Linked DNA regions of Rattus norvegicus. The protein of the gene in region 3 purifies or fractionates together with the protein of the main gene of each other region. This does not show direct contact. Links are inferred from orthologs where the notes say so. Each region holds a gene or a part of one and is shown on either strand. Other genes may lie near its edges. The genes, in order: Znhit2, Eapp, Aar2, Tssc4, Prpf6, Ddx23 and Snrnp200.

The links.
Region 1: the proteins of Aar2 (region 3) and Znhit2 purify together in Homo sapiens (affinity purification with mass spectrometry; 3 studies listed by BioGRID and IntAct, counting the BioPlex papers as one, with this or other methods). This does not show direct contact. The link is inferred for Rattus norvegicus from reciprocal best matches to the Homo sapiens genes AAR2 and ZNHIT2.
Region 2: the proteins of Aar2 (region 3) and Eapp purify together in Homo sapiens (affinity purification with mass spectrometry; 4 studies listed by BioGRID and IntAct, counting the BioPlex papers as one, with this or other methods). This does not show direct contact. The link is inferred for Rattus norvegicus from reciprocal best matches to the Homo sapiens genes AAR2 and EAPP.
Region 4: the proteins of Aar2 (region 3) and Tssc4 purify together in Homo sapiens (affinity purification with mass spectrometry; 3 studies listed by BioGRID and IntAct, counting the BioPlex papers as one, with this or other methods). This does not show direct contact. The link is inferred for Rattus norvegicus from reciprocal best matches to the Homo sapiens genes AAR2 and TSSC4.
Region 5: the proteins of Aar2 (region 3) and Prpf6 purify together in Homo sapiens (affinity purification with mass spectrometry; 3 studies listed by BioGRID and IntAct, with this or other methods). This does not show direct contact. The link is inferred for Rattus norvegicus from reciprocal best matches to the Homo sapiens genes AAR2 and PRPF6.
Region 6: the proteins of Aar2 (region 3) and Ddx23 purify together in Homo sapiens (affinity purification with mass spectrometry; 3 studies listed by BioGRID and IntAct, counting the BioPlex papers as one, with this or other methods). This does not show direct contact. The link is inferred for Rattus norvegicus from reciprocal best matches to the Homo sapiens genes AAR2 and DDX23.
Region 7: the proteins of Aar2 (region 3) and Snrnp200 purify together in Homo sapiens (affinity purification with mass spectrometry; 5 studies listed by BioGRID and IntAct, counting the BioPlex papers as one, with this or other methods). This does not show direct contact. The link is inferred for Rattus norvegicus from reciprocal best matches to the Homo sapiens genes AAR2 and SNRNP200.

What each region holds. Positions count from the first base shown.
Region 1 is NC_086019.1:212,781,897-212,785,559, forward strand, and holds Znhit2 (zinc finger HIT domain-containing protein 2), read left to right. Parts: upstream 1-1,687; 5' UTR 1,688-1,717; coding exon 1,718-2,920; 3' UTR 2,921-2,969; downstream 2,970-3,663. Other genes in the region: delta(14)-sterol reductase TM7SF2, read right to left, coding at 3,444-3,604. UniProt on the Homo sapiens protein: May act as a bridging factor mediating the interaction between the R2TP/Prefoldin-like (R2TP/PFDL) complex and U5 small nuclear ribonucleoprotein (U5 snRNP).
Region 2 is NC_086024.1:77,914,967-77,919,105, reverse strand, and holds part of Eapp (E2F-associated phosphoprotein), read left to right. Parts: intron 1-2,008; coding exon 2,009-2,120; intron 2,121-2,127; exon of another isoform or gene 2,128-4,139. UniProt on the Homo sapiens protein: May play an important role in the fine-tuning of both major E2F1 activities, the regulation of the cell-cycle and the induction of apoptosis. Promotes S-phase entry, and inhibits p14(ARP) expression.
Region 3 is NC_086021.1:165,515,695-165,520,540, forward strand, and holds the start of Aar2 (protein AAR2 homolog), read left to right. Parts: upstream 1-1,829; 5' UTR 1,830-2,164; exon of another isoform or gene 2,165-2,270; coding exon of another isoform or gene 2,271-2,333; intron 2,334-4,846. UniProt on the Homo sapiens protein: Component of the U5 snRNP complex that is required for spliceosome assembly and for pre-mRNA splicing.
Region 4 is NC_086019.1:207,680,574-207,684,903, forward strand, and holds Tssc4 (U5 small nuclear ribonucleoprotein TSSC4), read left to right. Parts: upstream 1-1,971; 5' UTR 1,972-2,089; intron 2,090-2,338; 5' UTR 2,339-2,403; exon of another isoform or gene 2,404-2,513; 5' UTR 2,514-2,522; coding exon 2,523-3,488; 3' UTR 3,489-3,671; downstream 3,672-4,330. UniProt on the Homo sapiens protein: Protein associated with the U5 snRNP, during its maturation and its post-splicing recycling and which is required for spliceosomal tri-snRNP complex assembly in the nucleus.
Region 5 is NC_086021.1:189,115,315-189,119,453, forward strand, and holds part of Prpf6 (pre-mRNA-processing factor 6), read left to right. Parts: intron 1-2,339; coding exon 2,340-2,434; intron 2,435-3,180; coding exon 3,181-3,337; intron 3,338-4,000; coding exon 4,001-4,139. UniProt on the Homo sapiens protein: Involved in pre-mRNA splicing as component of the U4/U6-U5 tri-snRNP complex, one of the building blocks of the spliceosome.
Region 6 is NC_086025.1:131,676,398-131,680,536, forward strand, and holds the end of Ddx23 (probable ATP-dependent RNA helicase DDX23), read right to left. Parts: intron 3,661-4,139; coding exon 3,418-3,660; intron 2,606-3,417; coding exon 2,454-2,605; intron 2,276-2,453; coding exon 2,167-2,275; intron 1,559-2,166; coding exon 1,384-1,558; intron 1,019-1,383; coding exon 795-1,018; 3' UTR 239-794; downstream 1-238. UniProt on the Homo sapiens protein: Involved in pre-mRNA splicing and its phosphorylated form (by SRPK2) is required for spliceosomal B complex formation.
Region 7 is NC_086021.1:134,885,047-134,889,185, forward strand, and holds part of Snrnp200 (U5 small nuclear ribonucleoprotein 200 kDa helicase), read left to right. Parts: intron 1-1,195; coding exon 1,196-1,388; intron 1,389-1,950; coding exon 1,951-2,006; intron 2,007-4,029; coding exon 4,030-4,128; intron 4,129-4,139. UniProt on the Homo sapiens protein: Catalyzes the ATP-dependent unwinding of U4/U6 RNA duplices, an essential step in the assembly of a catalytically active spliceosome. Plays a role in pre-mRNA splicing as a core component of precatalytic, catalytic and postcatalytic spliceosomal complexes.

The DNA.
Region 1 (3,663 bases), on a different chromosome or scaffold from region 3:
GGATCTGAGTTTGAGATCAGTGGTCTACATAGTTAAACCATAGCTACACAATGAAAATTAGCCATGGCTGGGCTGTAGTGGACTTGAATCCCAGCACTCAATCCCAGGCAGGGAGGCCTCTGAGTTTGAGGACAATCTGGTCTACAGAGTGAGTTCCAGAACAGCCAGGGATAGACAGGAACTTTTAACTTAAAATACCGGAAAAGAGGATAACATTTGAAACTTAAAAATATCCAATAAAAAAAAAAATAGTTAAGTGTGGTGCTGTACTGGGGTGGGGAATTGGCATTGTTTTCAGAAGAATGTCCCTAGAAAAAGCTTAGTGTGTGCCTCCTGTCATTCCAGTACTGGAGAGGTGGAGGCAGGAAGATAAATTCAAAAGCATCCCCTGCTATACAGGTAGTTTGAGGGCAGCCTGAGCTTCAGACCTTGTCTCAGGAAGCAAAAAAAAAAAAAAAAAAAAAAAAGCAAAGAAATCCTTAGAAGGTTACAGACGTCTAAGAGATGTGATTAATGAGACTGAAAAGGAGAGCTGATCTGAACTACAGAAATTTGACAATGTGACAAGTGGTCATTGAAGGTACAGATTCTACAGGCTTTGCCAGATAGCTTTCTGGTTTGTGTTGGTCCATTTTCCAGTATGACTGGACACTAATACAGTATTTCCGTCACAGGCATACCCTCCAGATAATCCACTAAGGCCTACCTCTCAATAGGCCTCATAATATTTAACAATGCAAACAATTTCAATACCGTCGGAGGGATGTTTTCCCTATTTGTATTGCTTTGCTGTGCTTTTGTTATTTGAGACAGGGTCTCAGGTAGGCCCAGGCTGGCCTTAATTTGATATGCTTGCCTGTTATGTATTTTGAGCTCCAGATTTGTTAAAAATGCCTGGTTTATTTATTTTTTTAAATTTATTTTATGTATATGAGTACTCTGTAGTCTTCAGACGCACCAGAAGAGGGCATCAGATCCCATTACAGATGGCTGTGAGCCACCATGTGGTTTGCTCACCATGTGGGAATTGAACTCAGGACCTCTGGAAGAGCAGTCAGTGTTTTTTTGTTTGTTTGTTTGTTTTTTTGTTCTTTGTTTCGGAGCTGGGGACCGAACCCAGGGCTTTGCGCTTCCTAGGCAAGCGCTCTACCACTGAGCTAAATCCCCAACCCCGCAGTCAGTGTATCTTAACCACCAAGCTATCTCTCCAGCCCCCTATTCATTTATTTTTGTCTGTTGTTGTTAGTAATATTTTGCTGGCCTTGTTTGTTTGTTTCCAAGATAGGGCATCACTATGTAGCTCTGACTATCCTGGGATGCACATGAACTCACAGAAATCAGCCTACCTTTGACAACCCGGTGCTGGAATTAAAGGTGAGAACAGCTACGCCCTGCTAAGACCCTGGTGTTTTTTGTTTGGTGGTGGTGCTTGGTTTTGTTATTTAAAAGATAGTTTATTTTTGCACAATTTGGTACAACCACAAAGAACAAACTGGGATTAGCGACACAGTTTTTCAGAATTCGGCGAGCCAACGTGTTGGGAAGAGCTTGGGCGACTTCTACGCTTGCCCAACGAGCTACTCTGGAGAGTTACTGAGAAGTCCCAGAAATGTGCCGAAAGGAAGCTTCCCCCGCCCTCCACGCACACAAAAGCGGAAATAACCAAAGAAGCGCCGGAAGTGGCGGAACTGGTACAGGACAAGCGGCACCAGTTTCCATGGAGCCCGCGGGGCTCTGCGGCTTCTGCCCGGCCGGGGAAGCGGTACCAGCGCGCTACACCTGCCCTCGCTGCAACGCTCCCTACTGCTCGCTCCGCTGCTACCGGGCTCACGGCGCCTGCGCCGAAGACTTTTACCGCGACCAAGTGCTAAGAGAGCTCCGCGGCCGAAACGCTTCGCCCAGTCGTCTGGCGGGCGCATTACGCCGGCTGCGTGAACAACGCGAGGCCGAGGATGAGCCCGAGGAAACAGGCCTCCGGCCCGGCACGCGGCCGGGCGGTCTTTCTGGACTTTGGGAACGTTTAGCGCCGGCTGAGAAGGCGGCATTCGAGCGGCTACTGAGCCGTGGCGAAGCCGGACGCCTCCTGCCTCCGTGGCGGCCCTGGTGGTGGGGCCGCGGCACCGGCCCACGTTTTCTGGAGGAGCTGGATGATGACGCGAGTAGAGATCTTGCGGAGCCGGAGCTACTCCCTGCGAGGACCGGGTTGGAGTCCGTGGATGATGCCGCTGCCGCTGGGGAGCCACTTGCTGAAGACTCCAGTGTCGCCAGACCGCCCGCAATGCCTGCCCGCATCCCAGCACTGGCCAGTCTGAGCCGCAGCCCTACCTCGCCACTGGTGCGCTTCCAGCTGCCCAATGTGCTGTTCGCCTATGCTCACACTCTCGCCCTATATCATGGAGGGGACGACGACGCGCTACTCTCTGACTTCTGTGCTACTCTGCTCGATGTTTCTGGGGCCCTGGGAACCCAGCAAGTCTTTCACTCTACAGAGGAAGCCCTGCAGGCCGCAGCCCACGTTCTGGAAGCGGGCGAGCACCCACCTGGGCCCCTGGGTACACGGGGTGCTATGCAGGAAGTTGCCCGAATCCTTCTGGGCGAGGGTCCTATCAATCAGAAAGGCTACACGCTGATAGCATTGGGGCACCTGGCTCAGACCCTGGGTCGAGCCCGGAAACAGGCTGTGGTTGGTGAAGAGCGAGATCGCCTTTACCGGGCTCGGAAGAAGTGCCAGTTCCTGCTGGCTTGGACCAATGAAAACGAGGCTGCTCTCACACCCCTGGCTCTAGACTGTGCCAGAGCCCACCGAGCCCATGCTGTGACAGTTGAGGAGATGGCAACCCTTACTGGGGAGCTAGAACGGCTTTGGGGAGGCCCAGTACCACCTGCACCAAGGATTCTCATTGAGGAGCTTCCTGGCTGAGCTGGGCATCCATGTCATTACATTAATAAAGATGTGTCTGCTCTGCCCAAATGTTGGCAGTGCCTTTCTTTATAGATGGTGCCCTGTCGTAAGCTTCTTTTGAAGTTACTGTATAGTTGAAGATGACCTTGAACTTCTGATCTGCTTCCCACCCCGACAGTGGGAGGTTACAGGTGTTAGCTACCTTGCGGATATGCAGTGCTGGATAGCAAAGGCTTCCTGTGTGCTACACAGGCACTCTATAACTGAACTACATCCCCAGGCCTGAAGTGCCCCTTTCTGAGGGTAACCAATTGTCTCACTCAGGCTTTTGGACCCACAAACCACTTTTAAGCTTTCATTAGTCAGCTAGTCATCCCCAAGCCTCAAGTCACTGACCCCAGGATAGAAGAAAAACAGCAAAGGTTGAAAACATTTATTCAACAGGGAAAAATTTCCTTCTGGGAGCAGTGGCTCCCTCTTGCTTTCAACGTTCTTGTTTTCAACGTGCTGAGCATCCCTGCCGAGTAGAACTGGTTCTGCTTCAGTAGACATACGGTATGATTCGGTAAGGCACGCGCTTGCAGTATTCCTGCCAGGCACGGCCATACTTTCGCAGGCACTGCTGCTCATCTCGGGCCTCGCGGTGCACCAGCAGTGCAGTGAAGTAGAGCAGGTAGAAGTAGGGCAGCAGGTGGGACAGCCCTGTAAGGAAGGGGCTGCATGGTCAGCCATCACGATGAGCACCGGTTTATAAAGGCTTT
Region 2 (4,139 bases), on a different chromosome or scaffold from region 3:
AATGTAAATATCTGTGTTTTCTGATGGCCATTGGCAACCCCTGTGAAAGTGTCCTTCAACCTCCGAAGGGGTCACAACCACAGGTTGTGCCCAGAGGATAAGGGCACCTGCTATTGTTGCAGAGGGTCCTGGTTCAGTTCCAGAACTCACCTTGCCCCTACAGCTATCCATATATAACTCCACTTCTAGAGCTCACCTTGCCCCTACAGCTATCCGTATATAACTCCAGTTCCAGAGGACCTGGGTCCCTGTTTTGGCTTCAGCAGGCACTAGGCATTTATACAGTGTACTTAACATACACTCATATATATAAAATAAACCTTAAAAGAATTACCATTGGTTTTTAAATATTATTTTGTTCTGATTTTAGTATTTATTTGAGAGATGGTCTTGGAGTATAGCCCTGTCTGACTGGAAACTTACTGTGCAGCACATCTGGCCTCACATTCATGGCAGTTCTCATGCTTCTGCTTTGCAAATGTTAGGATTACAGATGTGAGCTGCCATTGTCTGGTTTAGTAATGATTTATGTTTGAGAACTTGTGGTGATCTTCTATGCGGAAAGTAATTCATAGGACTAAGGATGGAGCTCAGTTTACAGAATTGCTTGCATGGTGTACACAAAGCCCCAGATGTGATCCCAGTGTGGATGCACCTGTAATTCAAGCACTTGGGAGGTGAAGGCTGGGGTATCAGAAGCATAGAATTATCCTAGGCTACCTAGCGAGTTGAGGCCAGCTCTGCCTACACAAGACCCAAATCACATTCTTAGCATTGTTTTTTTTTTTCTTAATCAAAAATTATTCTGTATATGTGTGTATTTATGAGAGCTCATTTTACAAGTCACATACGGCTGTAGAAGACAACTTGTGAGAGTCATTTCTCTCCTGCCACCACGTGAGTCCCAGGGACTGAACTCAGATTGTTAGACTTTCGAGCAGTCTCACCTTCCTCCCTTTTGTTCTTTTTTTTTTTTTTTTTTTTTTTTTTTGTTCTTTTTTTTTTGGAGCTGGGGACCGAACCCAGGGCCTTGCGCTTCCTAGGCAAGCGCTCTACCACTGAGCTAAATCCCCAACCCCCTCCCTTTTGTTCTTGACAGGGTCTCATACAAGCTAAGCTGGTCTCAAACTTTGTATGTAGCCAAGGATGACCTTGAACTCATGATTCAACTTCCTCTATCTCAGGCACTGGGATTGTAGACATGTGTCAGCATGCCCAGTTGGTTTTAAGTGGGTTTTGTTTTTTATTATTTGAACTTAGCTTTTTGGCCTCCTTTATCTTTTGTTTTAGTGTCTTTTTTTTTTTTTTTAAGATTTATTCATTTATTATATATAAGTACACTGTAGCTGCCTTCAGATACACCAGAAGAGGGCACCAGATCTCTTTACAGATGGTTGTGAGCCACCATGTGGTTGCTGGGAATTGAACTCATGACTTCTGGAAGAGCAGTCGGGTGCTCTTAACCGCTGAGCCATCTCTCCAGCCCTGTTTTAGTGTCTTAATTGGACAACTCTTCTTTTTTTTTCTTTTTTTTTTTTTTTTTCGGAGCTGGGGACTGAACCCAGGGCCTTGCGCTTGCTAGGCAAGCGCTCTACCACTGAGCTAAATCCCCAACCCCGGACAAGACTCTTATTGGAAGAATAGCTTTATTTAATTTTATGCATTGTTTTGGGGATAGGGTTTTACTTTTGTTGTCAGGGTATCCGGAATGCACTGCGTAACCCAGGCATGGCAGTTCTCCCGCTTCAACTTTCCAAGTGTTGAGACTGCTAAAGAAAGGCTTTAGGCATCTTTTTCTTTTCTTATTTTTAGTTTAATTTTTTACTTACTTTATATCCTGCTCACTGACCCCCTTCCGGTAACTCCCTCCCATTTAGGCAACTTTTAAAAACATAATATAATAGAATAAATAGATAGTATGGGAAACAGGAGAGTCATTTGATATTAAGAAGTGTAAACTTTAGACATGATACTGATCCATGTTCTTAACCTTTCTAACTAACACAAGTGACCAAGAAGAAGAAGAAGAAACAACACAGGATTCCAACAAACGATGAGCTGCTCTATGATCCCGAGAAAGATAGCAGAGACCAGGCCTGGGTAGATGCAAAGAGGAGGGGGTAAGAATTTAAGTCTATATTTAGAATCTTTAGAGAAAGCCAGAGTTATTTTTCATTGCTTTCCTGTTTGACTGTATGTGTCTTTGTTTTCATACAAATACATCAAAAAAGTTCGAGGATTGAAACTTGAATACTTGGGCTGGAGAGATAGTTCAGTGGTTAAGAGCACTGGCTGCTCTTCCAGAAGTCCTGAGTTCAATTCCCAGCAGCCACATGGTGGCTCACAACCATCTGTAATGGGATCTAATGCCCTCTTCTGGTGTGTCTGAAGACAGCTACAGTGTACTCATATAAAATAAATCTTTTTTAAAAATTAAAAAAAAAAACCTTGAATATTTTATATGAAAATAACCAGCAAATTTTAGTTAAACAGTTTTTATCTGTCTCTCTGTTTTTGAGACAAGATCTCTCTATGTAGTCGTGGCTGTCCTGGAATTTGCTCTATAGACCGGGCTGGCCTTGAACTCCCTCTGCCTCTTTAGTGCTGGGATCAAAGGTGTGCGCCACCACCACCTGGCTGAATTTTTATTTGTTTTTAAAAAGATTATCGTGTAACCCAGACTGGCTTCAAACCTTAATATGTTCTTGGGGCTGGCCTTAAACTCTTGCCTCTACTTTCCAAATGCTGTCTGAAGTTTCAGGTGTGTCACCACAGCAATTAATTGTTGCGTTATTAATGAGTCTAAACTGTTAAGAGTTTCTTCATTTAAGAAATAAAAGAACGTTTTTATTGTTCTTGTGAGACAGGGTCTTGTTATGTTCTCCTTATGTATGCTGCCTTGGCTAACTTACAGCAGCCCTGCCTCAACCTAAGTGCTGGGATTGTAGGTGTGTGCTGTGCCATCATGCCTGGCCTTTCCTCTTGCCCCTACTCTCTGGTACTAAGATTGAATTTAGGCTCTTGAGTATGCTGGGCAAGCGATGTCACTGAGGTGCATCCTTAACCCTCATGTTGCTTTTTAAAACAAGGTTTGATTACTCTGTAGCCCAGTGGACCTGGAATTTGTAGTCCTCCTACCTCAGCCACCTGGGAAGCAGGGACTGTTATAAAACTAAAGTTTCAGTAGTTGGTTGGTTGGTTTTATTGGTCTTTGAAAATTAACTTTTTCCAAATAGATACGCTAAACTTTTTTTTAAAGTTTTTTTGTTTGTTTGTTGGGATAAGGTTTCTCCTAGACTGACCTTGAAGTCCCAGGGCTATTCTGCCTCAGCCTCCCAAGTGCTGGAATTATGACTGTACACTACTATGTTTATTTTATAGTTTTAAATCATTTTGAGTTTAGGGTTTTAGTATCTAAATTGTTAATTTTATTTTTAGCTATCCTAGAACTCTGCTGACCAGGCTGGCTTTGAATATGCAGAGATCCGTCCACCTCTGCCTCCCAAGTGGTTCTTTGCTCTTGTTTTGTAATCCCAAGTACTGGGGTTAACGACTCGTGTCACCTTGCAGGCCCAAGAACAAAATGCTTCTGAGTTTGTCCACACTGTAGCACAGTACTTCTTCTTATGGCTGCACAATGTCATCGTATGTGTGTCCACCAGGAGAAGTTTGTTCTGTCTGCCTTTTGACTGTCAGGAATAGTGTTGTCAACACTGATGTGCACGTACTGGCTTGAGCCCCCACTTCTGCTTTTGTTACAAACCTAGGAGGAGTGTGGTGGAAGCTTGTGGTAATTCTTTGTTATAACCTTTCCTGTGCACTCGTGTGTGGTGCTAGATATGGAATGTATGCTGTTATACACGCTAGGCGATATGGAATGTATGCTGTTATACACGCTAGGCGATATGGAATGTATGCTGTTATACATGCTAGGCGACATGAAATGTATGCAGTTATACACGCTAGGCGGATACCAAGCTGCTGAGCTGTACCCTCAGGGCCTAGGAGGCTTTGCTTCAGTTCATACAGGGATGGGTATCTGGTTTCACGTCTGAAGGGTTGATGTTGCTCTGGAATCACTGTACACACCTTTTAGCTTCAGTTCTTCCACCACGTCCTTTCCCTCTTCCTGATTTACT
Region 3 (4,846 bases):
ACATACCAGAGTTCAGCTCCTAAGACAGGAGCTGGGGAGGGAAGGTGAGCAGCTTCCCAAAGGAAATGGAACTGACCATAGAGGCTGAGATTGCCGGTCTGACTTGCCTCTGGCTAACCTTGGGGCAGCCCACTGTGATTAACCATGATTGCCCCATCTAGCCTATTCTGCAATCCCCCTACGAGATGACTTGAGAAGCTATGAGTGGGGCAGATTGACAAGTTCATCTATCACTGAGGAAGTCTGACACAGAAGCAGCAGCACAGGGGCCAGAACTCCAGCTGGTTTTATCAAGTTTTTTTGTTTTTGTTTTTGTTTTTGTTTGTTTGTTTGGTTGTTTTTTTTTTTTTTGCATCTGATCCCTGTACTCTCTGAGTCTGTAGTCCCTCTGTGAAGCTCAGTTTTCTCTTCTGTGAATTGAGAATACTAATTGCCAAGTTTTCATCCCTATACTGGGTCACTGTCTCAGAATTTTAGCACCAGTAAAAAGTGTGGACACATCTATTGGCAAGGGAGACTTGGTCTTGGTAAGGGACAGAAATGGGAAATAAACTCAGATCAAACCCTTGACCAACTGAAGGTTAGAGATATGCAGGTATGGTGAAAAAAAAATGAGACCAGTAAAGGGGGCGGAGGGACTCATCCTTTCTAGGGATGGCAAGGATTTGGATACAGCTTTTATGGTTTCTCGCCATTGACAACTGTCATGGTGCTGGAGGTAGGCATCTTAAGAGGCTCGATAATGGGGGCTGGAGAGATGGCTCAGTGGTTAAGAGCACCGACTGCTCTTCCTGAGGTCCTGAGTTCAAATCCCAGCAACCACATGGTGGCTCACAACCATCTGTAATGAGATCTGATGCCCTCTTCTGGTGTGTCTGAAGGCAGCTACAGTGTACTCATACAATAAAATAAAATCTTAAAAAATAAATTTATAAAAAAAAAAAAAAAAAGAGGCTCGATAATGAAGATGGAGGTCGTCCTCTGTTCTGTCAGTCATTGTAGATACAGCCAGTCTTGGTAAAGTCACCTGAAGAAGAGATTGATTGAAGGCCTTTGAAAATCCGGTCTTTACAGATAAACAAGCTTATAATCAGGTAGGTAGAGTTGGAAATACAAGATTAGAGGAGGGTCCCACATTGGCTAGGATTAGTGAAAAGATTAGAAGTAGTGTCTATATATCCCCCAGTGGCTCTGGTTCTTGGTGAATTCTGATGCACAGAACCACCCAGCACAAGGCTAGGCCCACAAATAGTCATTTATTATACCACATTATTTGCTTTGTTATTAAATGCACAGTACATCGATGAGGGCTATGTGCTAGGTTCTAAGGAAATCGAGAGGAAAAAGACAGGCAGGATTCCTCACTCAGTGCGCGATTTAGAGCTTGACTGTTGTATTCCGTAAGGCCTAGAAAACACTGGGTGGTCACTGCTGGAGGAACTGCTGTGGTGGCTGTTGAAAGAACTGCTTCTCTCTTTAGGCAACAGCCTTGGTTCTGAAACTAGGGAGACTTGGAGGTAATAGGGAACTTCTGACATGGTGACTGGCATAGTAAATGTGGCTGAAGTGTGACAAACCACGACTGTGTGCCAACACCTGGACCATGCTTTGGCTAGTCCGTGTCTGCTTGAGACCAAAGGACTGCAGCTGGTTGAGTATGTTTCTGGACGGGGATATAAAGTGTATAGTTTAATTAAAATCGTTATTCACAATTCGGGAAGTTAAATGAACCAGTAAGAAGAAAATGGCAGTGCTTTATCGTGAGGAACCTGGAAGCACGGGCCATTTCTTCTGAGACCGGGGACTCCGCCGGACTACTTTTTCTGTAGCACCTATCCGGCTCCAAAGCAGCCGAACTTCCGTCCAGTTTCCGCGGAGCCCGAACGTGAGGTAATACGGTGAGTGTCAGCTCTTGGTGCTCCTTTCGTCCTTTGGTTTCGTTAAATGTGATCGGGTCACCTCGTTTCTTGTCTCAGAATCGCGCCGGCGGAGTCTGAATTTGTGATCTGGTGTCTCGGGAGGCCTTTATTTCTGAAAACCCATCTCCAGGGACACCATGGTCAGGCTCTCTGGGGCTCACGAAGTAACTTTTCCCCCCTTTTAACTGTAGATCTTGGGAACCAGAGATCGTATACTCACTGGAGCTGGTTCTGCGTGGCTTCCTGTAAGTCACCCACCTGGCTTCCTGGCTTTATTTAAATGTATATTGTAGTAAGTAAGTTTTAAGCTTCGTGCATACGCTAGGGACCTAGGACTCGAGTTCTGGAGGCATGACAGTCTTCAATCAAGTACACAAAGTTACACACCAGTCACTGGAATTGAAAGGCTTCAAGGTATCCAGAGTATAATCACGGAACTTTTGACTTAGTCCTGGGTCGAGGAGGCTTTACAAGATTAGAAAAAAAAAAAAAGTTTGACAAAATGCTGTGGGTAGAGTTTTCTCTGGTTTGAGGGTCAGAAAGAAGCCAGTGTGGTTGGAACAGTCGTCGGATTGGGGTGGTATTAAGTAAGCTGAAGAATTGCCAAAAGTAATTCTTGTAGCATTTTCGGGCCATAGTAAGAATTTTATGTTCCCTAAAGCCAGATAGAGAAGGCATTGAGGACCAAGGACTCTTGCTCTTGGGAGTTGGTGAATAGGCTGAGGAGGTGTCTTTCTGTATTGCAGGGTTGTGAAGAATGCATCCCATTTGTATGTTCCAGACTTTTTTTGACTGAACTACAGGCACAAGACTTTTATGCAGTGACCACGCATAGAGGCACAGGCCTTCATGGAACCAGTCCTATCCTTGTTCCTTGTGGCATTTTGATGGCTTAAAACTTCTCTTCTCAGTGCTGGAGAGATGACTTGGTGGTTAAGTGACTTGCCTGCTCTTCCAGAGAATTTGGACTCAGTTCCTACCACCTTTATGGTGCTAAAACTACCTCTAACTCCAGTTTCAGGGAATTCAGCATCCTCTTCTGCTTTCTGTATAACTTTTTCCATTATTTCAGATTAGCTTTATGTCTAAAAATGATTTCTTAACTCAAGTTATGTCTTGCAGTTTGAAAAAGAGTGCTGATTTAGAGACCTTTCTTCTGTTTGTTTGTTTTTAAGGTAAAGACAATAAAGTGTACGCCTAATATTTTTTTAAAGATTTATTGTATTTATGAGTACACTGAAGCTATCTTCAGACACACTAGAAGAGGGCATCCAGCCCATATTTTTTGTAAAAGGATTTTTGTTTGTTTGTTTGTTTGTTTTAAATAAAAGAATAGGGGCTGGAGAGATGGCTCAGTGGTTAAGAGCACTGACTGCTTTTCCAGAGGTCCTGAGTTCAAATCCCAGCAACCACATGGTGGCTCACAACCATCTGTAATGAGATTTGATGTCCTCTTCTGGTGTGTCTGAAGACTGCTACAGTGTATTTATAATAATTAAATAAATCTTTTTTAGGGCTGGAGAGATGGCTCAGCGGTTAAGAGCACCCGACTGCTCTTCCAGAGGTCATGAGTTCAATTCCCAGCAACCACATGGTGGCTCACAACCATCTGTAAAGAGATCCGATGCCCTCTTCTGGTGTGTCTGAAGACAGCTACAGTGTACTTATATATAATAAATAAATAAATCTTTAAAAAAAAAAAATAAATCTTTTTTAAAAATTAAAAAAACAACAGCAAGACACACTTGATTTTCCTGATTGTTAATTTTGAGGCCACCTCTGTAAAACACAAACATCTGTTTTTCAGTGGTCTTATTCTGTGAATATTTCTTTTTTTTTTTCTTTTTTTTTTTTTTTTTGGTTCTTTTTTTCGGAGCTGGGGACCGAACCCAGGGCCTTGCGCTTCCTAGGCAAGCGCTCTACCACTGAGCTAAATCCCCAGCCCCGAATATTTCTTTTAGGGCCCAGTAACAATCCCGCACAGTGCCTGTAATCTGAGTGTGTGTCTGTTGGACTGGTGAGTGACTTCCTACTCAATTTAGTAAAAGTCGGAATAGTTGATTGGCTTAAATTGGTTCATGCTGAAAACATTCTTACAAATACTGCAGAGACAGCGTCTGCTACACAATTGTGTTTTACATTGTGTGCATGTGAGTGAATGATGGGGTGGTGGGTCATATGCTGGGGCAAGCATGTGAAGGTTAGACAACTTTGTGGGTTCTCTTTTCTCCTTCTACTTTATAGTATCTGGCCATCGAAGTGAGGTTGTCAGGCTTAAAAGGCAAATGCCCTTACTCACTGAGTATTTGCCAGCAACCCCTGATGCCTTTGTTTTTAACCAAAGGGTCTTTATAAGGAATTTAAATGTGGATAAAATAAAGAATCTAAGCCTCTCCTCAAATATTGTAGACCTGCCATGTCAGTCTTCTCTGGATGAATTGTGGCTCTGTGGGAAACTGTTTGATCCCTGGACTTTAGGTGGTTTTGTTTTGTGATTACTTGCTTGTTTTTAAGACAGTGTCTTGTGTACATATCGCAGTCTGGCTTCCAATTCACTGTGTAGCTGAGAATGACTTTAACGTCTGATCCTCCTGCCTCTGCCTCTCTCACAGATGTGTGTGTGTGTGTGTGTGTGTGCGCGCGCGTGTGCAAGGATCCTTTGTGTGCAATGGACAATCACTGTACTCAGTTAACTGTCTTCCCACCAGCTGCTTGTTTTCATTGTTTGATTTTTTTTTTTTTTCCGGAGCTGAGGACCGAACCCAGGGCCTTGCGCTTGCTAGACAAGCGCTCTACCACTAAGCTAAATCCCCAACCCTTCATTGTTTGATTTTTGAGACAGTCTCTAGCAATCAAGGGTGATCTTGAACTCCCGATTTCTCTGCCTCGGTCCAGCAAGGGTTGGGAATACAGGTGTGTACCACTGC
Region 4 (4,330 bases), on a different chromosome or scaffold from region 3:
TAAGGCCCTTCGCTTCGCACCAGAGGGTCCCTGGAATGACCAGAGGCCACCTTGGGGGCCATGGCCTGTGTATATACTATTTCTGTATTACTCTGCTACACTTAGCCTTTTTACTTTTGAGTCTTTTTTGTTCTGAACTTTTCCTGTCACCTTTTGGAGCCGACACCACACATAGGTGGCGTATGTGGGGACGTAGAGGTGGAGCTGGCCCTAGCTGGCAGGGCCCTGTACTTCTGGGACCCCTGGAGAGTTCTGCCTGCTGAGCCAAACCTCCTCCATAGCTACTTGTCCAGAGGCCACATAGCCAAGCTAGAAGGCCATGTCCACCCACTCTGCCCACTGTGGGTCACATCGCTCCCATCTTTTTAATCCTTGTCCCTTTCCTGCCTCCATTTCAAGAGCTGGGTTTGTAAGCACTCTTATGCCTTCAATGCACTTATTCTTTCTAACGTGTCACCTTCAACTGTAATTAAATCTTGAAACAGTCATTTAATAAAGGAGGAAAAAATCAGGCATGCTAATGGGACTGCCAGACCTCTTCCTGTGCCAGTGGTGTCAGAGACCTGGCTCGTCAGCTCTGAACTTTGCCAGGTACAGGGTGAGCAGGTCCAATAGAGCCTGTGGAACACAGTGGGTGGGGAGGGCTGGGACCCTGGGAGCACTCCATGTTGAGTACTCCCTCACTTCTGTACCTCCCTGTACTGGGAGCTCAATGCTGACCTAACACCAGCCTTGACCTCATTTCCACTCATCTGTTGGGAATGCCAGGTCGGCTGAGTCGGGTAGGAGGAGCCACAAGGCAGGGGAATCCAGCACAGAATGTTGGGGATAAACTGCAAGAACACTTTCCTTTTGAGGGACAAGACAGTAAAGGTTAGACCATTACCCCATCTCAGGTATCTAGGTGTTGGAAATATTCCACTGAGCTGGATGGTTCTAGCTTGTGTCTCAAGAAATAAAAGGCAGTCCGCTGAGCTCACCCCTGTGAACTGAGGATCAGGCTAAAGCAACCTCCTGGACACAAGGGGCAACCACCACTGTCTTTCTCTTTGACTCCTGTCTGCACCCCTCCCCCAGGCTGCTGGGTTAATTGGCCACTAGAGAGGAGAAGTCCTGGCTAAGATTCAGGTCCCAGCAGTAGGCTGATTTGTCGGTGAACCCCAAGCTTGTACTAGGGCATTCTAGGTCTCAGCCACCTCCACCCACCACGCCAGGGCAACCTGTTCCATGCTTGGCTGGCTTCTGAGGGAACCTTTATATTCTATGTTGTGAGGCCCATGGGCACCAGGCCAAGGCTGTTGGAAGCCTGTTGCACAGCTTCAAGAACATAGTAAAGGAGGAGAGAATGCAGCAGCCCAGTGGATCCTCAGACTCTGGTGTCTAAGGATGCAAGAAAACAGTCCCAGGCCTGGAGGAGGATTATGTGTGGCCTTGAATAGTAGGGTCAGCGTCCAGCACCTAAAGCGTCCGTCCGTGCCTGTGTCAGGAAGCACAGACAGGCAGTGCCCACGGTAACGGCCTCGAATCTATGAAGCCCCAACCAACCCATTACAAGGACCACCACGTCTCTATACGCCAAGAGCCAACCAGGACCTTGGTCCCGCCCAACTCCAGAAAGCCAACAAAGCACAAGACCCGCACCACTTCCGCCCAGGGCCGGAAGTGTCTGGGAAACTGGTTGTAGCTCGCAGTGCGTAGTGACGCACTTCCTCGTGTCGGACCCGGCCCAGGTGGCTTCCGACGGACGACGCTAGAAGCCTCAACCCTTTGCGATTGGCAGTTAACCCTAGAGTATTGTGGGAATCACGGCTCCGCCTTTTCCCCTTTCGTCATTTCTGGGTGGATTTCCGTGTGCGCTCCGGTCTTCGGGATGGCACACATGTTACAAGTCCCGGCAGGCATTAGGCAGTGACCCCATTGCCTTCTGGGAGTTGTAGTTTCTCGGGCGCTGAAGCCACAATATTCTGATAGCCCGAGACTCGGTTTCCCAGGAATCCAAGCGAGATTGAACAGGCCGGAATCCCGTGGAACTGGCGGGACGCTGCGGGAAAGGTGGCAGGTTATTGAAGCGTGTACGGATGCTGGAACGGTGAGCACTGGCCTCCCTAGGGCCGCGACCAGGCCAGTACCGTGCCTGTTTCTGCCACCTCCCCCTCCGGACCCCGGGTGGTGCCTTCAGTGTGTGCCCAGAGAGGCTGCGCTTTGCTAAGAGCTCGTGATGGGACGAGCCGCTGATGGAGATCCCCTGTCACCAGCATCTCCCAGCGCTCATCTATTGTATGTCCACACTGTTATGATCTCATGGTTGACTCTCTCCTTAACCCCACCTAACCTGCAGCTCCACATCTGTGCACGCTAGGATACCCTTTAGCCACCCAGCTTCGCGAGGCCTCCGGTCCGGTTGTGAGTAGAGGCGCCTGGCACACAGTGGAGGTGAAAGAGCCCGGGAGGGCGGGGAGGGGTGCGGCATTAGGTACACCCCTCACGGCAGAACTGGGACTGCCTTGCTACAGGTGGGACGGATGTCAGGTCTTATGGCGGAGACAGAGGCCGGCTTGGAGGTTGAGGAACCCACCGAGGATGACACCCTGCCTTCTGACACCGTCTCCCTCAGCGACTCGGACTCTGACCTCAGCTTACCTAGTGGTGTGGAGGTCCAAGCGTTGTCCCCAGAGAGGCTTTCTGGGGAGAGCCAGGAGGACTCGGGCCCTGATGACCCTCCCTCGCACCCCACGGGCATTCCCACCACTGCAGTGCAGCCGTTCCACCTCCGAGGCATGAGCTCCACTTTCTCCCAGCGGAGCCACAGCATCTTTGATTGTCTGGAGAGTGCAGCCCGGCAGGAACCGTGCTCTGCTCCCCAAACCAGTGTGGTTGACAATTGCAGCTTCAAGCGGCCTGTGGCTCCCCCAAGTCAGACTCCAGCAAGAAGCTTGAGCAGAGTGCATGGGAACACTGACCCGACCAGGGTACACCCTGTCCCTGACTATGTGTCACACCCTGAGCGTTGGACCAAATACAGTCTGGAAGATGTGTCTGAAACCAGTGAGCAGAGCAATCGTGATGCTGCCCTGGCCTTCCTGAGCTCTCGAAGCCAGGCATCCCCCACAGACTATGTGCCCTTTTTCAACCAGGACCCCTCTAGCTGTGGGGAGGGAAGAGTGGTCTTCACCAAACCAGTGCGGGGCAGCGAGGCTAGGGCTGAGAGGAAGAGGGTCCTAAAGAAGGGGGTTGTGTCAGGTGCAGGGGGTGAGGCCTCAGTGGAGCTAGCCCATCTCGCCGGGCCTGAGGCTGAGGAATGGAGTGGCCACCAGGGACAGCCAGAGGTGGTAGTGCCTTCAGAAGCTGCCCGTCCTGAGTCCTCATCAGGCCCCATAGGTATGAAAACTGTTGGTTTCCATGGCAGCAAGAAGCGGAGCAGAGACCACTTCCGGAACAGGGATAGTAACCCGGAGGGGCCAGGGTCTGAGAGAGGACCCTCAGTTTGACTGCAGTGCCATCGCTCTACCTCCTCACCTGCCCAGTCCAGGTGGGACAGTGTGGGCTCTCTGTAGTAGGGATGTGTGGGCCTCAACTCTGGCAGAGACTGGGAATTGTGGGTCAGGGGACCTTGAAGGCCTTTGTGCCCCATTGTTTGGGGTGAATAATAAAGGTTTTGAGTATTTACTGAATTTCGTGAATTTTTCTCGGCCCCACTCAAGAGTTATGTCCAAACAGTCCTGGGCAGCTAACTACAGGACTGCATCTCTACCAGCCTCATCCTGCCTTCCCCGCTCTAGTGAGGACCGCTGTGAAGGTTTGCCATGGGCATTGATGTTTGTCACTGGTAACCTACCCAGAGGGAGTGGGCTCGTAGCTGTGTTCAGCCTTGTGCCCCTGATGGTACTGGATGAGCATAATATGGTCCCCCTGCCCCCCAGAAACCAGTGCAGCCCCAGCACTGGGCCCGCACAGACCACGGGTTCTAGGAAGAGGATAAGTTGTGAGCCAGCAAATGGTTGGTGTCCGGGCTGTATGTCTCCAGGACTTGTGACCTCTGTATAAGACACAGCTGATGCTAGATCCTTCAGCTGAAGCTGGGCCAGGGAGGAGGAGAAGGATGCACGAGTGAGTATTTCATGTGGAGGCCAGGGACTTGGACCAAGTTAGCCAGCCTGGCCTGCTAAGCACCGGGTCTGCCCCAGTCTCTGTAGTTCGCCTAGAAAGGACCTGGGTGGTCATTTAATTTGAGAAGTAGTAGAAGGAACAGAGATGCTGTTCATTGGGTCAGATAACTCCATGTTCCCCAGGTGTTTGAAATGTTGGTTTAGCCACCCCTGTGGTCCAGTTT
Region 5 (4,139 bases), about 24 Mb from region 3:
CTGCTGAGCTTTCTCTCTAGCTCAATATTCTCTGTGTATATGTGTGTGTATACATAGGCATTTGTGTGCGTGCGTGTGTGTGTGTGTGTGTGTGTGTGTGTGTGTGTAAGCCAGACATCAGCTTTGGGTGTCTTTTATTCTCTTACCTTATTTGTTTGTTTTTTTTTTTTTTTTTAAGTTGGCAAATAAAACAGAATGCCCCTGCACATGTTCTTCTTGGTATTTTTGTTATTTTATTTGAGACATGATTTGGCATGTTATTGGCTGTCCTGATCTATGTAGACCAGGCTAGTCTTGAACTTGTAATCATTTGCTTGCCTCTGACTGCCAAGTGCTGGTATAAGCTACTGTACCTAGCTTTCTGGAGGAAAGGAAGATAGTCTCGTGTAGCCTAGCTGGCTTCACACAAAGTGTGTAGCCAAGGATGGCCTGATCCTTCCACCATGATCTTCAAAGTGCTTGGATGCTAGGCGTGCACTTCCATACCAGTCACTAGAAAAACAACGCTTTTTCTCCTGTTCCCCTTTTTCTGTGCTCTGTGTTTGTTAACCTGTCTTTTCTTAAAGAGTGTTGGATAGTGTGCTGGTACACCCGTAATTTCAGTACTTAGGAAGCTGAGGCAGGAGCATCACCTTGAGCCTGAATCCAGCTTGGGTTATAATATGAGATTCTGTCTTTTAAAAACATTTTTAAAACCTTCAGCCGGCGGTTTGGGGAGACGAACCTTCCACCTTAGACCATGGCCAGGTTCATCCATAACTTCGCAGAGAAGGTACCATTGATGGTGGCCGCTGCCTGACTTACTCGAAGCCTTGATTGGCCACACTTTGGCACTACGCCAAGGTTGAGCTAGTTCCCCCAACCCCTGGTGAAATCCCTACAGCTATTCAGAGCGTGTAATTCAAAGTGCTAAAACTGGTAGCTTCAACCACCTTACAGTTAAGGAAGCTGTGCGAAATGGTTTGGTGGCCACTGAGGTGTGGATGTGGTTTTACATTGGAGGGCTAGGATGAAAGCCGTGCTTCACCTTGGCCGGCTTCTTTTTAGTTTTTTTTTTTTTTTTAAGATTTATTCATTTATTATATATAAGTACACTGTAGCTGTCTTCAGACACACCAGAAGAGGGCACCAGATCTCTTTACAGATGGTTGTGAGCCACCATGTGGTTGCTGGGACTTGAACTCATGACCTCTGGAAGAGCAGTCGGGTGCTCTTAACCGCTGAGCCACCTCTCCAGCCCTTCTTTTTAGTTTTTAATTTTGGAAACTGATACTCAGTAAATTGTCTAGGCCAGTCTGGAACTCATTCTGTAGCCAGGTAAGCCTTGAACTTTGGTCATTCCTGCCTTAGCCTTCCAAGTAGCTGGGATTACTGGTCCGTGCTATCAGACACGGCTTATTATGGCAATTTAAAAATTTATGATTAAGGGGCTGGGGATTTAGCTCAGTGGTAGAGCGCTTGCCTAGGAAGCGCAAGGCCCTGGGTTCGGTCCCCAGCTCCGAAAAAAAGAACCAAAAAAAAAAAAATTTATGATTAAAATAGTAGAATGAGCTTTTAATTCCAGCACTTGGGGAGGCAGAGGAAGGTGGATCTCTTGAGTTCAGGGTTAGCCTGGGCTACAGAATGAGTTCCAGGACAGCCAGGGCTACACAAGAAATCATGTCTCAAAAAAGAAAAAGATTAGTACAATGAACTTCCATATTGAAATTTAAAAAAAAAAAGTTGAAATTACCAGCCTTTTACTTAAGACTTTCTGGACTTAGGTCCGTCTTAAAAAGACATTTTTTTAAAATATGTTTTCTTGAAATTTCTTTTCATGGAACTTTTAGGATCAGTATCTCTATGTGTCTTGGTTACTTTTATTTTCTCTTTTCATTTCTTAGAAGAGAGACACTCTAGAGTGGCCAAGTTTTTTGAAATCTCAAAGCCCACCTCCAGTGGCACATCCTCTCCAACAGGGCTACACTCCCTAAGCCTTTCCAAATTGTTTCACCTACTGGGGACCAAGTATTTGTATATGAGCCTATGGGAGCCATACTTAAGTGTTCTGAACTGCTGAGCTGTCTCTCCTGCTTCAGCCTCTAGGTTTTCTATTGATTTATCACTTTCAGTGATGCCGAAATTAATCCCGCAACATTAATCCTTGTAGAAGATTTCTACACTTTTCATGTAGAAGACATTTTCTCATCACTAACTGTTGTTTGAGTCACAGTAAGATTGTTTTTTCCTGACTGCTTTTCATGAGATTTGTCGGGTGGGCCTTCAGGGTTGTTGGTAATTCGTTGTTTTAAACATTGCTGGTCATGACTAGCTCATTCTCCCCTTTACCTATCTCACAGGTATCTGACTCAGTGAGTGGGCAGACTGTTGTGGACCCCAAAGGCTATCTGACGGACCTAAACTCTATGATCCCAACCCATGGTGGCGATATAAAGTGAGTATGCTGCAGAATTGATGGGTTGAAATGGGAACTTTAATTGCTTACTATGTTGTGGAGTTTTTTTTTTAAAGAATATACAGTCAACCCCAAAAGTACAACAATGCCAAGCAACCAGAGCTTCCAGGGACTAAGCCACTACCTAAAGACTATACATGGACTGACCCTGGACTCTGACCCCATAGGTAGCAATGAATATCCTAGTAAGAGCACCAGTGGAAGGGGAAGCCCTGGGTCCTGCTAAGACTGAACCCCCAGTGAACTAGTCTATGGGGGGAGGGTTGGGAGGGGAACACCCATAAGGAAGGAGAGGGGGGAGGGGGATGTTTGCCCGGAAACCGGGAAAGGGAATAACACTCGAAATGTATATAAGAAATACTCAAGTTAATAAAAAAAAAAAAAAAAAAAAGAATATACAGTCAAAATATGACATGGATGTTCTGAGAAATTAGAAGTGTATTTGTGTTCTTTTACTATGTATATTAAATATTTTACAAATAATAAGGTCAATGCCTGTGGTGAGCTAGAAAGCAGCTTGTAGATTGTCTGGTGTTTCCTGTCTGGATATTCAGGCTTCAGTTTGTTTACTCAGTGCCCCCGTAGAGTAGCTCTTTTGGATTTTATGTCTTCAGCATGTTTCCCTTAGCAATTTATTCTGTGTCTTAAGGGGATGCCTTCTCCCAGGCTCTTGCCACACCCTCTAATAGTGTGGCCTGATTTTTTGTGCCTTTTGACCTTTACAGTGACATCAAGAAAGCACGACTACTTCTTAAATCTGTTCGAGAAACAAACCCTCATCATCCACCAGCCTGGATTGCGTCAGCTCGCCTGGAAGAAGTCACTGGAAAGTTACAAGTGGCTCGAAACCTTATTATGAAAGGGACAGAGATGTGCCCCAAGGTAAAGCCATAGCAGCATATTCTCTCGACAGCTGCATGTGCCCATACTAGAGTCAGAGCAAGGTTATGAACAGAAGGAAAGGAAAGTCTTTACGACTTTTGTGTGGAGCAGAGGCTGGCCTAACATAATGGCAGGGTCAGCATCACTGAAAGTGATAAACCTGGCAGCTTGTCAGGTCACACAATATAGAAAACCTAGAGTTGACTCAGAAGAGATGGCTCAGCGGTTGAGAGCATGGGCTCGTCTTCTAGAGGACCTAGACTTGATTTCCAGGTGCCATAGGGCAGCTCACAGCTGCCTGTCATCCAGTTCCAGGGGATCTGATGCCCTCTTCTGGATATGCATCCAAGCAAAACACCTGTATGCATCAAATAAGAATAAGTAAATCGGAAAAAAAAACAAAAAACAAAACAACAACAAAACACAGATTAGTGCTGTCTCTCAGAATATTCTAGCACTTGTGTTTTGGAAGGTGGGATGATTAGGACGAATTTAGAAAGTGTTAATAAAACCAACAATGTCATGTACTCTTCTGTGTAAACTAGGTATATCTGATAATGAAAGAAAACCTCTGTGAAATTCTTTGAATTTTAGGTAAAAATTAGAGCTTCCCAGGCAGTCATACCTGCCCATGTTCTTATTGTTCTTTGTTTTTTCCCCTAGAGTGAAGATGTCTGGCTAGAAGCAGCTAGGTTACAGCCTGGGGACACAGCCAAGGCTGTGGTGGCACAAGCTGTCCGTCATCTCCCACAGTCTGTTAGGATTTACATTAGAGCAGCAGAACTAGAAACAGACATTCGAG
Region 6 (4,139 bases), on a different chromosome or scaffold from region 3:
AACCCATCTCCAGTCCTCCAGACCCAGCTGAACCCACCCAGCGAGCAAGGGAAGCAGGGAGTACATGTTGGCTCAAGTGTGGTTCCACACAAAAGCAGGAGAGACACTGCCATCCTGCTCCCTCCATCCCTCCCGTGCAGATAAACAACTATGTGAGAAGCTAGGCCTTCCTTTCACTTAGCCAATGCTGCGGGCCTGACTTGTTTCCCAGAGAGGAGGGCGGAGCCAGGGGCTGACACACTTTAATATTCATGTATTTATTCTCAGAACATACAAACTTATCTTCTCAGAGAATAGAAAACAAATTACTGACTTAAACTCCGAGGGGCGGGGAGAGGAGGGATGCCCAGAGTGCACAGCACCCGTGGCACAGAGGTTGTGTGGCACAGGGCTGCGCAGTTCTAAGGGCGCTCAACCTGCTTTAAACTCCGAATGGGAAACCAGTTGTCAGAGTGACAGAGTCCAAGGTCCACAATCCTCATGATGCCAGATCCCCTGGGTCACTCAGGGCAACTACTGCTGTACAGTCACACAGGTGTGCTGAGGAAGTCCCCTCCAGGTGACCAGGTGTTTGTTCAGGCTGGAGATCGTGCTAGGCAGCTGCCCCATAGCGTGCTGCTCCTGCCTCCTACAGCCCTTCCTGTTCCCTTGGAGCCCACCTCACAGGCTCCAAACCAGGGACTCTGGCTGCTTCCTAAGACCCATGAGCCAAGGACAAGAGCCTGGAGGGGTCATGAGGGCTTAGGACAGGCACCAGTTTCAGAGCATGGCTTCAAATCCACTCAGGTGCTGTGTCAGGCAAAGATGGTCTCTTCCCTGCGCTTCTTGGTAAGGATGGTGCCTGGCTTGTGCTGGGCATCTGGGTGGTTTGCCAGCTCTGGAGGGCAAGAGGACACTGGGCTCTCCAGGATGGCTTGCTTCAGTTCATAGAACACGGCTGAGTCCTCTTTGGTGAGGAAGGTGATGGCTACACCACTCTTGCCTGCTCTTCCTGTGCGGCCAATTCGGTGAATGTAATCTAGGGAGCAGAAGAATGTCACTCGGGACCAAGTCAGATGTCCTGGTGCGTGGTGCCCACTCTTAAAGGAACCCTCTGCCCCACAGACCTCCATGGGCAAGCCATCCACCTCCTGCTGTCTACACCCGGTGAATCCAGAGTGCCCTCCACTCTGCCCATCCCCCACTCCACTGCCTACTTGTCGCACAGCAACACTAACGCTCTCCCAGCCAGAGCCAATCTTTACACACCATGAAGTGTCATCCTAGACACTGGGACGTCGCCCCAGACTCAAGCAGAGTTTTCGGTGCACCCTGACTCTGAGAGGGACAATGTAAGTGGCCTCTCTCCTAACCCTGAAGTGAAGCTACCCCTGCAGGCCTCACCTTCAATGTTTTTGGCCATGTCGTAGTTGACAACCATAGATACGTCTTGGATATCGATACCACGACCAGCCACATCTGTAGCCACCAGAATATCCTTGGCTCCAGCCTTGAGGTTGGACAATGCGAATTCTCGCTGCTCCTGGCCTTTGCCACCATGCAGTGTACAGGCGTTGTACTGTAGGGTAGAAAGCACTAGGCTCAGGGAGAGGGAGCAGAAACAGGGAGGGGGGAGAGCAGGCGATGCTAGAGGAGAGCGGATGATGCTAGGGGAGAGCATAGAAGCCAGAGAAGTTCAGTGAAGTGAGGAAAGAACACAGGAACTAGAGCAAGAATGAACAAAAACATGGCGTCCTGTTGGGGGCAGGCAGGATAGGGACTGAGGCCCAGGAGTGTGCTGAGATGAGGAGCCAGGCAGACGACAGGTTCTAAGGGAGAATCAGGTAAAGGAATGGGGAGGTAACAGGCTAGGAAGGCTACGGACATGAGGAGCTGAGTGCTGAGGACACCCCTTACCTGGTGAGCAGTACAGGCCTGGTCATCAGCACCCCTCCCCCACCCTCATAGGGCTCCAGCCTCACACTGGCCCCACCCGTCTGGCTGCCGGACTAGAAGGGAATCCTAGTAACTGACCAGTTCTCCTCCCTTTCTCAAGCCATGCACTAGTTTCTGTAGCCCTGGTTTGTTAGATGTGTAAAGATTAAAGAGCGAGTGGGAGCCACATCCCCATCCATCCCTAGCTTCAGAGAGCTGCAGCGCTGGCTTTGCTCTGCCTGCCAGACATACCCCCATCTTCTCCAGAGACTTGGCCAACACGTCGCAACCCTTCTTCTGGTTGACAAAGATGATGATGGGTGGATCAAAACCTTGTTCCAGGATTGCCAGCAGCTTTTTCCTGGGGGAGGGGGAGGAGAATAAGGTACACATACCACCCAGACTCAGTAACCCCAACACTCAAGCCCAGCAACTGACAAACCCAAGGTCCTCAACAGAGACCTTGCAAAGGAGGAAACAGCAAGGCAACCACCCCACAGCCGCCCTACGCAGGTCTCCCAGATCAGCCCCGCCCATACCTCTTTTCTGACTCCGACATGAGAAAGACCTTCTGTTCCACCCGCTCATGGGGCTTGCCTGCAGAGCCAATGTACACCACAGCAGGCCGCCGAAGATAGCTCCTGGCTAGACGCTCCACCGCTGGAGGCATGGTAGCCGTGAACATGACTGTCTATAAAACAGGAGGTTCAGCTCGGGCCCAGGCAGATGAACTACATACCCTACTGTCAGCCCAAGCAGCCCGACTCAGGCTAAGACATTAATCTAACACTGCTACCCTGGGAAACAGTGTTCTTTGCCTTTCGTCTCACACTAGGAAGGACCGGGAGCATTTGCTACCACCTGGATCCAAGTAGCATCATGATTCCTCACATCAGGTCATCATCACCATGATCATTACAGGTTTTTCAAGACAGGGTTTCTCTGCAGCCCTGGCTGTCCTTGAACTCACTCTGTAGTCCAGGCTGGCCTCAGATTCAGATCCCCCTGCCTCTGCCTCCCACAGGCTGGACTAAAGGTGTGCCAGTGCCCAGCTTGTCTACTTTTCTTCTTTTAATGCCCCAGTGCTCTCTGTATTACACCTCCACACCAGAAGAGGGCATCAGACCCCCTTCTAGATGCTCACAAGCCACCATGCGCTTGCTGGGAACTTCCCTCCTGAGCTGGCTCATCAGCCCTCAGTCCTTACTTTTGTTTAGCTCTTTTGAGACAGGATCTTGCTGTGCACATCTGCCTGGCCTGGAACTCACATCTAAGACAACCTAGCCTCAGTCTTGGGCAATCTTCCTGCCTCCTCCCGAGTGCTGGGGCTTTAGCCATGAGTCACTATGCCTGGCACCTTTTTCTTCTGCACCACAAGCATGCTGGAAGCATGTACAGTAGTGTTAGCGTGCTGGAAGCGTGTGCACTGGGCCCTCCCTAGGCAAGGAAGGTTGAAAACAAGACTTGGGAACTGGTTCAAGTTCTCCCAAGAAAGCTGCCTACTTGACGGTACTTGTGTTTTCCTGATTCAAAGTTGGCTAACATCTTCTCGGGGTCCTCGGCCTCGTCCGTGTCCGGCTTCTGGTTGCTGACAGGCATGTGCTCCAGGATCTTCTGCACATCTGGCTCGAAGCCCATGTCAATCATCCTGTCGGCCTCATCCAGAACCACATAGGTGCAGCGGCTGAGCACCAGGTAACGGTTCTCCAGCACGTCAATCAGACGTCCTGGGGTGGCGATCACAATCTGGAAGGATCAGTGTAACCATGTATGGCTTTAGCAGACAACTCACCTGTTTCTTTTCTCTGCTATGAACTATCTACCCACTTAGGCAACAGACCTTCAATGCTAAGGAACTTGACCCTCAACCTCCAGCCAGATTTGGTACTTAAGGTCCCAGAGAATGGACCTGAAACTATCTGCTACCTTCAGTTTCCTTCAGGAATAAATGGGGTTTCTAAATAACATCCAGGGGGTTGGGGATTTAGCTCAGTGGTAGAGCGCTTGCCTAGGAAGCGCAAGGCCCTGGGTTCGGTCCCCAGCTCCGAAAAAAAAAAAAAAAAAAAAGAACTAAATAACATCCAGGGTTAGACAGATGGCAGAATCATGAGGAACTAGCTTAGATGGAAAAACACTAGGGAGCACTGTGGAAGGAGAGAGGGCGGGGAGCACTGTGGAAGGAGAGAGGGCGGGGAGCACTGTGGAAGGAGAGGCCGGGGAGCACT
Region 7 (4,139 bases), about 31 Mb from region 3:
CTGTGTGTGTGTGTTTGTGTGTGTGTGTGTGTGTGTGTGTGTGTGTGTGTACATATGTGCATACGAAAGTCAGGACAACTTTCATTGTTGTTCCTGTCTTTGTGGGGGACTCAGGAATCAAACAGTTGGGCTTGGTGGAAGTGCCCTTACCTGAGGAGCTATCTTGCTAGTCCAATCAGAAGAATCTTTGGATTTTCCCAGCAGGATGGGAAGGGCAATACCATTTTGTAGAAACTAGCACTTAGCATAGTATACATAGGTCAGCATGTTAACTATAAATGGGTGCCATTAACACTCATTTTCAATGTAATAAAAGAGAGATGTGAGATACTAAAGTCAAGGAGATAGCATTTGTCAGAATGTGAATCCAAGTGGTCCATACCCCAAATGTGCTCTGAACCTTTGCACATTTCTGATTAGACTGAGAGCCTTTATGAGTTCTCTAGCGAGCTGAGGAATAGGGAATGTGTGAACAAAGAATAGTGAAAGTGTGACAGGACATAAGAAGGCTGCTGAGTGCCTCTTTCACCTGGAGATGTGTGGCAAGCTATTGTGAAAGTTATATTCTGCTTCTGAATACACCTACCTATCACCCCCACCCCCAAGTGCTCAGACTGACTCCAGGATCTCATGAATTTTAAGCACATGTGGCAACACTGTGTTAAATCCTCAGCAGCTCCTCTAGTCTTGGAGTTTTATTTTGTTTGCCGTGTGAGACAAGGTTTCCCATAGCTCAAGCTGACATCACACTGCGTATTTAAGAATGACTTTGAACTTTGGTCTTGTTGCTGCTTCCCATGTGCTAGGATTACAGGCATGTGCCACTGTGTCCTGTTCATGAATGTCCAAAGCCTAGGATGCTGCAGATTCGCTTGCTTGCCTCTTATGTGTATGACTGTTTTGCCTACATGTATGTATGTACACTACATATCCCTGGTCTCTTGGTGATCAGAAGAAGGCTTCAGATCTCCTGGAAGTTGAGTTGTGATTTGATGTTTTTTTTTCTTCGAGCCATCATGTGGGTTCTGGGAATTGAACCCAGGTCCTCTGCAAGAGCAGCAAGTACCCTTTTGAGCCACATCTCCAGCTCCTGTAGTTTTGAAGATATATACTGCTTTACTTTCTATTGTCACAAAGGCGGTCAGTGTCCTTCTGCATATTATTGTTGAACATGTTGTCTGTGTTTTTTCTTCAGCCTCGAGATATTCTTTGTGGGGCAGCCGATGAAGTTCTGGCTGTTCTGAAAAATGAAAAGCTTCGAGACAAGGAGAGAAGAAGGGAGATTGACTTGCTGCTGGGTCAGACAGATGATACGAGATACCATGTGTTAGTAAACTTGGGCAAGAAGATCACAGACTATGGTGGCGACAAGGAGATCCAGAATATGGGTACCTGAGCTGCTTGTGTCCTAATCATGTTTTGTGGTTGTTGGCCTTTCTGTTGAGTACTCAGCGTCATTGTTAAACTTTTAGAATAACATTGTTTCCATAACTTATGTTGTGTTGCTTAAAGAAAATGGCTAATCTGCAGGCCTTTCGGACAGGCTTATCCCAACAAGTCAGCCTAGTCTGCATAGCAAGTTCCAGCTGCCAGGGTTCCTTAGCAAAACCCATCTAAGAACAATAAAGAGGATAGTCATCTCTTGACGTTTGGTTGTGAGCCTTATCCTTTAGTAGCTGACTTACCTCTCCAGCCCTGGCAGCCATTTTTAAATTGAGACTTACTACACAGGCAGTGAGAGAGAGCAGGGAGGGTTTAGGAGCTGAAGAAGCAGAGCAGAGTAGAATCCAGGTTGGCAGGTTCGAGAGGCCTTGGTGCTGTTTTTCATGTTGATTAAGTCTGTGTTCTGGCCTGAGAATCAATAAGCAAGCCAGGCTGCTGAGGAAATGGTCTTGAGTGTCTCCTCCATACTAACCACTGCCCTCTTTTTGTAATTCCACATCACCTCAGATGACAACATTGATGAGACTTATGGCGTGAATGTGCAGTTTGAGTCTGATGAGGAGGTGAGTGGCTTTAAATGGTTCCCTTCTGTTTTGTTTTGTGATATTACCAAGGTAGTGGGAGCTCTTCTCATAAACTGAAATTCCTAGCTAAATAACGTTTACAGTGTTTTGTGGTAGACTTACAAATTTGGTATTATTCTGCTTAAAAAGTTATGGTTCTGGTTTAGAAGCTAATTTAAACTAGTAGGTGTAAATGACAGTTTATAATAAACCAGACAGACCTGGGAAACTAGGAAGAAGGACTGAGAAATGCTATCCTGTAGGCACAGTTATTGCAATCATGGACTCAAACAGCTACACTTACTTACTGTTGTCCTGTTCAAGTCTGACCCTGTCAGGGATTGGGGAGGAGTCCCTTCTCCTTGCTGCCTAACTATTGGTTATTGATAGATTATGAAAAGGAAGTCATTATCTTCAGTCCTGTAACCACTTCTGACCTTCTGGTTTCTGATGGTTAAATTCAGTGGGTCACAAATGACACAAGTGGGCAGGAATGTGAGAAATAGACGTGTAGGGAAGAGGAGGCTCCATGGGGTGGGGGTGGGGGTAGGGGCGATGATGACGAGAGTGGCAGTAAGAAAACGGTATGCATTGTGTACATGTATGAAATTGTCAGAACACATTTAATCAAAGGAAAAAAGATAAATCATGTCTTTAGTGAGGATGTGTCCTGCTATAGTGAGTGTTTTAACCATGTTATAGTAATTTACCATGGCTTTAGTACTGTGTGCTAATAGCTAGTTTCAAAAGAAAGCATATTCTAGGAGTATGGATGTAGTTGTACTTGGCTGTCTAGCAGTTGTAGCAGCTCCTGGGGTTAAAGCTCTCCACTTCTAGATAATAAGTAAATAGGACTAGTAGGACAATTGAAAAAGAAAAGTTGAACCAGGAATGGTAACACAGTGCCTACGATCCCAACAATCAGGAGGTTAAGGCCAGCTGGGCTACATAATGAAATGTTTCTAAATAATTTTTTTTTAAAAAGTAGTTACTTTAGAGTGAGTTTGTTTTCTGAAAAAGAAAGTGCCAGTCCTGAAATGTTTTCCTGTGACAGGAAGAGAAGATGTATCCTGACTGGAGTCAGGATGAGCACTGAACTGAGAGCCAAGGAATCTTGAGTTTTAGCCTGTATCTTGGGCAGACCATTTTGCCTCAGTTTCTGTTTTAGTAAAACAAAATGCTACTTCCTACAGAATAGTTAATTGGTAGAGAGTTTTTATTCTCTCTCTCTCTCTCTCTCTCTCTCTCTCTCTCCACCCCTTTCCCCTCCCCCTCTCTTTCCCTCCCCACCCTCTCCTTTCCTTACCCCCTCCCTCCCTCCCTCCCTTCCTTCCTTCCTTCCTTCCTTTTTTCCTTCCAGACAGAGGTGTGTGTGTGTGTGTGTGTGTGTGTGTGTGTGTGTGTGTGTGTGTGTGTGTGTGTGTGTAGCTGGGACCAACTCATTAGACCAGAGGCTGGCCTCAGACTCACTGAGATCCACCTCTACCTGGCCTCTGCCTCCTGAGTGCTGGGATTAAAGGCATGTGCCACCACAGCCTAGCTGTTAATTAGTAGTTTTAATTAGGACAACCTGACACAAATTTCCTTGCTCATAGCAATTTATTTAGCAAGTGCTAATTGTTGAACATGATGCTCTTTAAGAACAGTCCACAACTGAGATTATGCAAACTAACCATGGTGTCTACATTTCTGGCTCACAATCTGCTTTCCTGTGAGTACATCTTCATAGGTCCTCTGTTAGCCAATAGTCTTAGTTTGAGATATCTGTGTCTCAGAAGGAGCATATGATCCTGGTGTTTGATATTTGGCAGCTAAGGTAAGAAGCAGAAAAGAGGACAGATACATCTAATAAGCCCGTTCCAAATGGTCATTCCGTTGATGTTCCTGGAATATGGTTGATTATTGGCTTTACCCCAAAGCCATTGTTCTAAGCATGGTGCATACTTAGAGTGATTGAAAGACAAGGTCTGAGTGACACAGGACCAGTTCCACATCTGTATTGAGGTTGGGGTTGTCTCCATAGGAAGGTGATGAAGATGTGTATGGGGAAGTCAGAGAAGAAGCTTCTGATGATGACATGGAAGGGGATGAAGCTGTTGTGCGCTGTACCCTCTCCGCTAATGTAAGTACAGT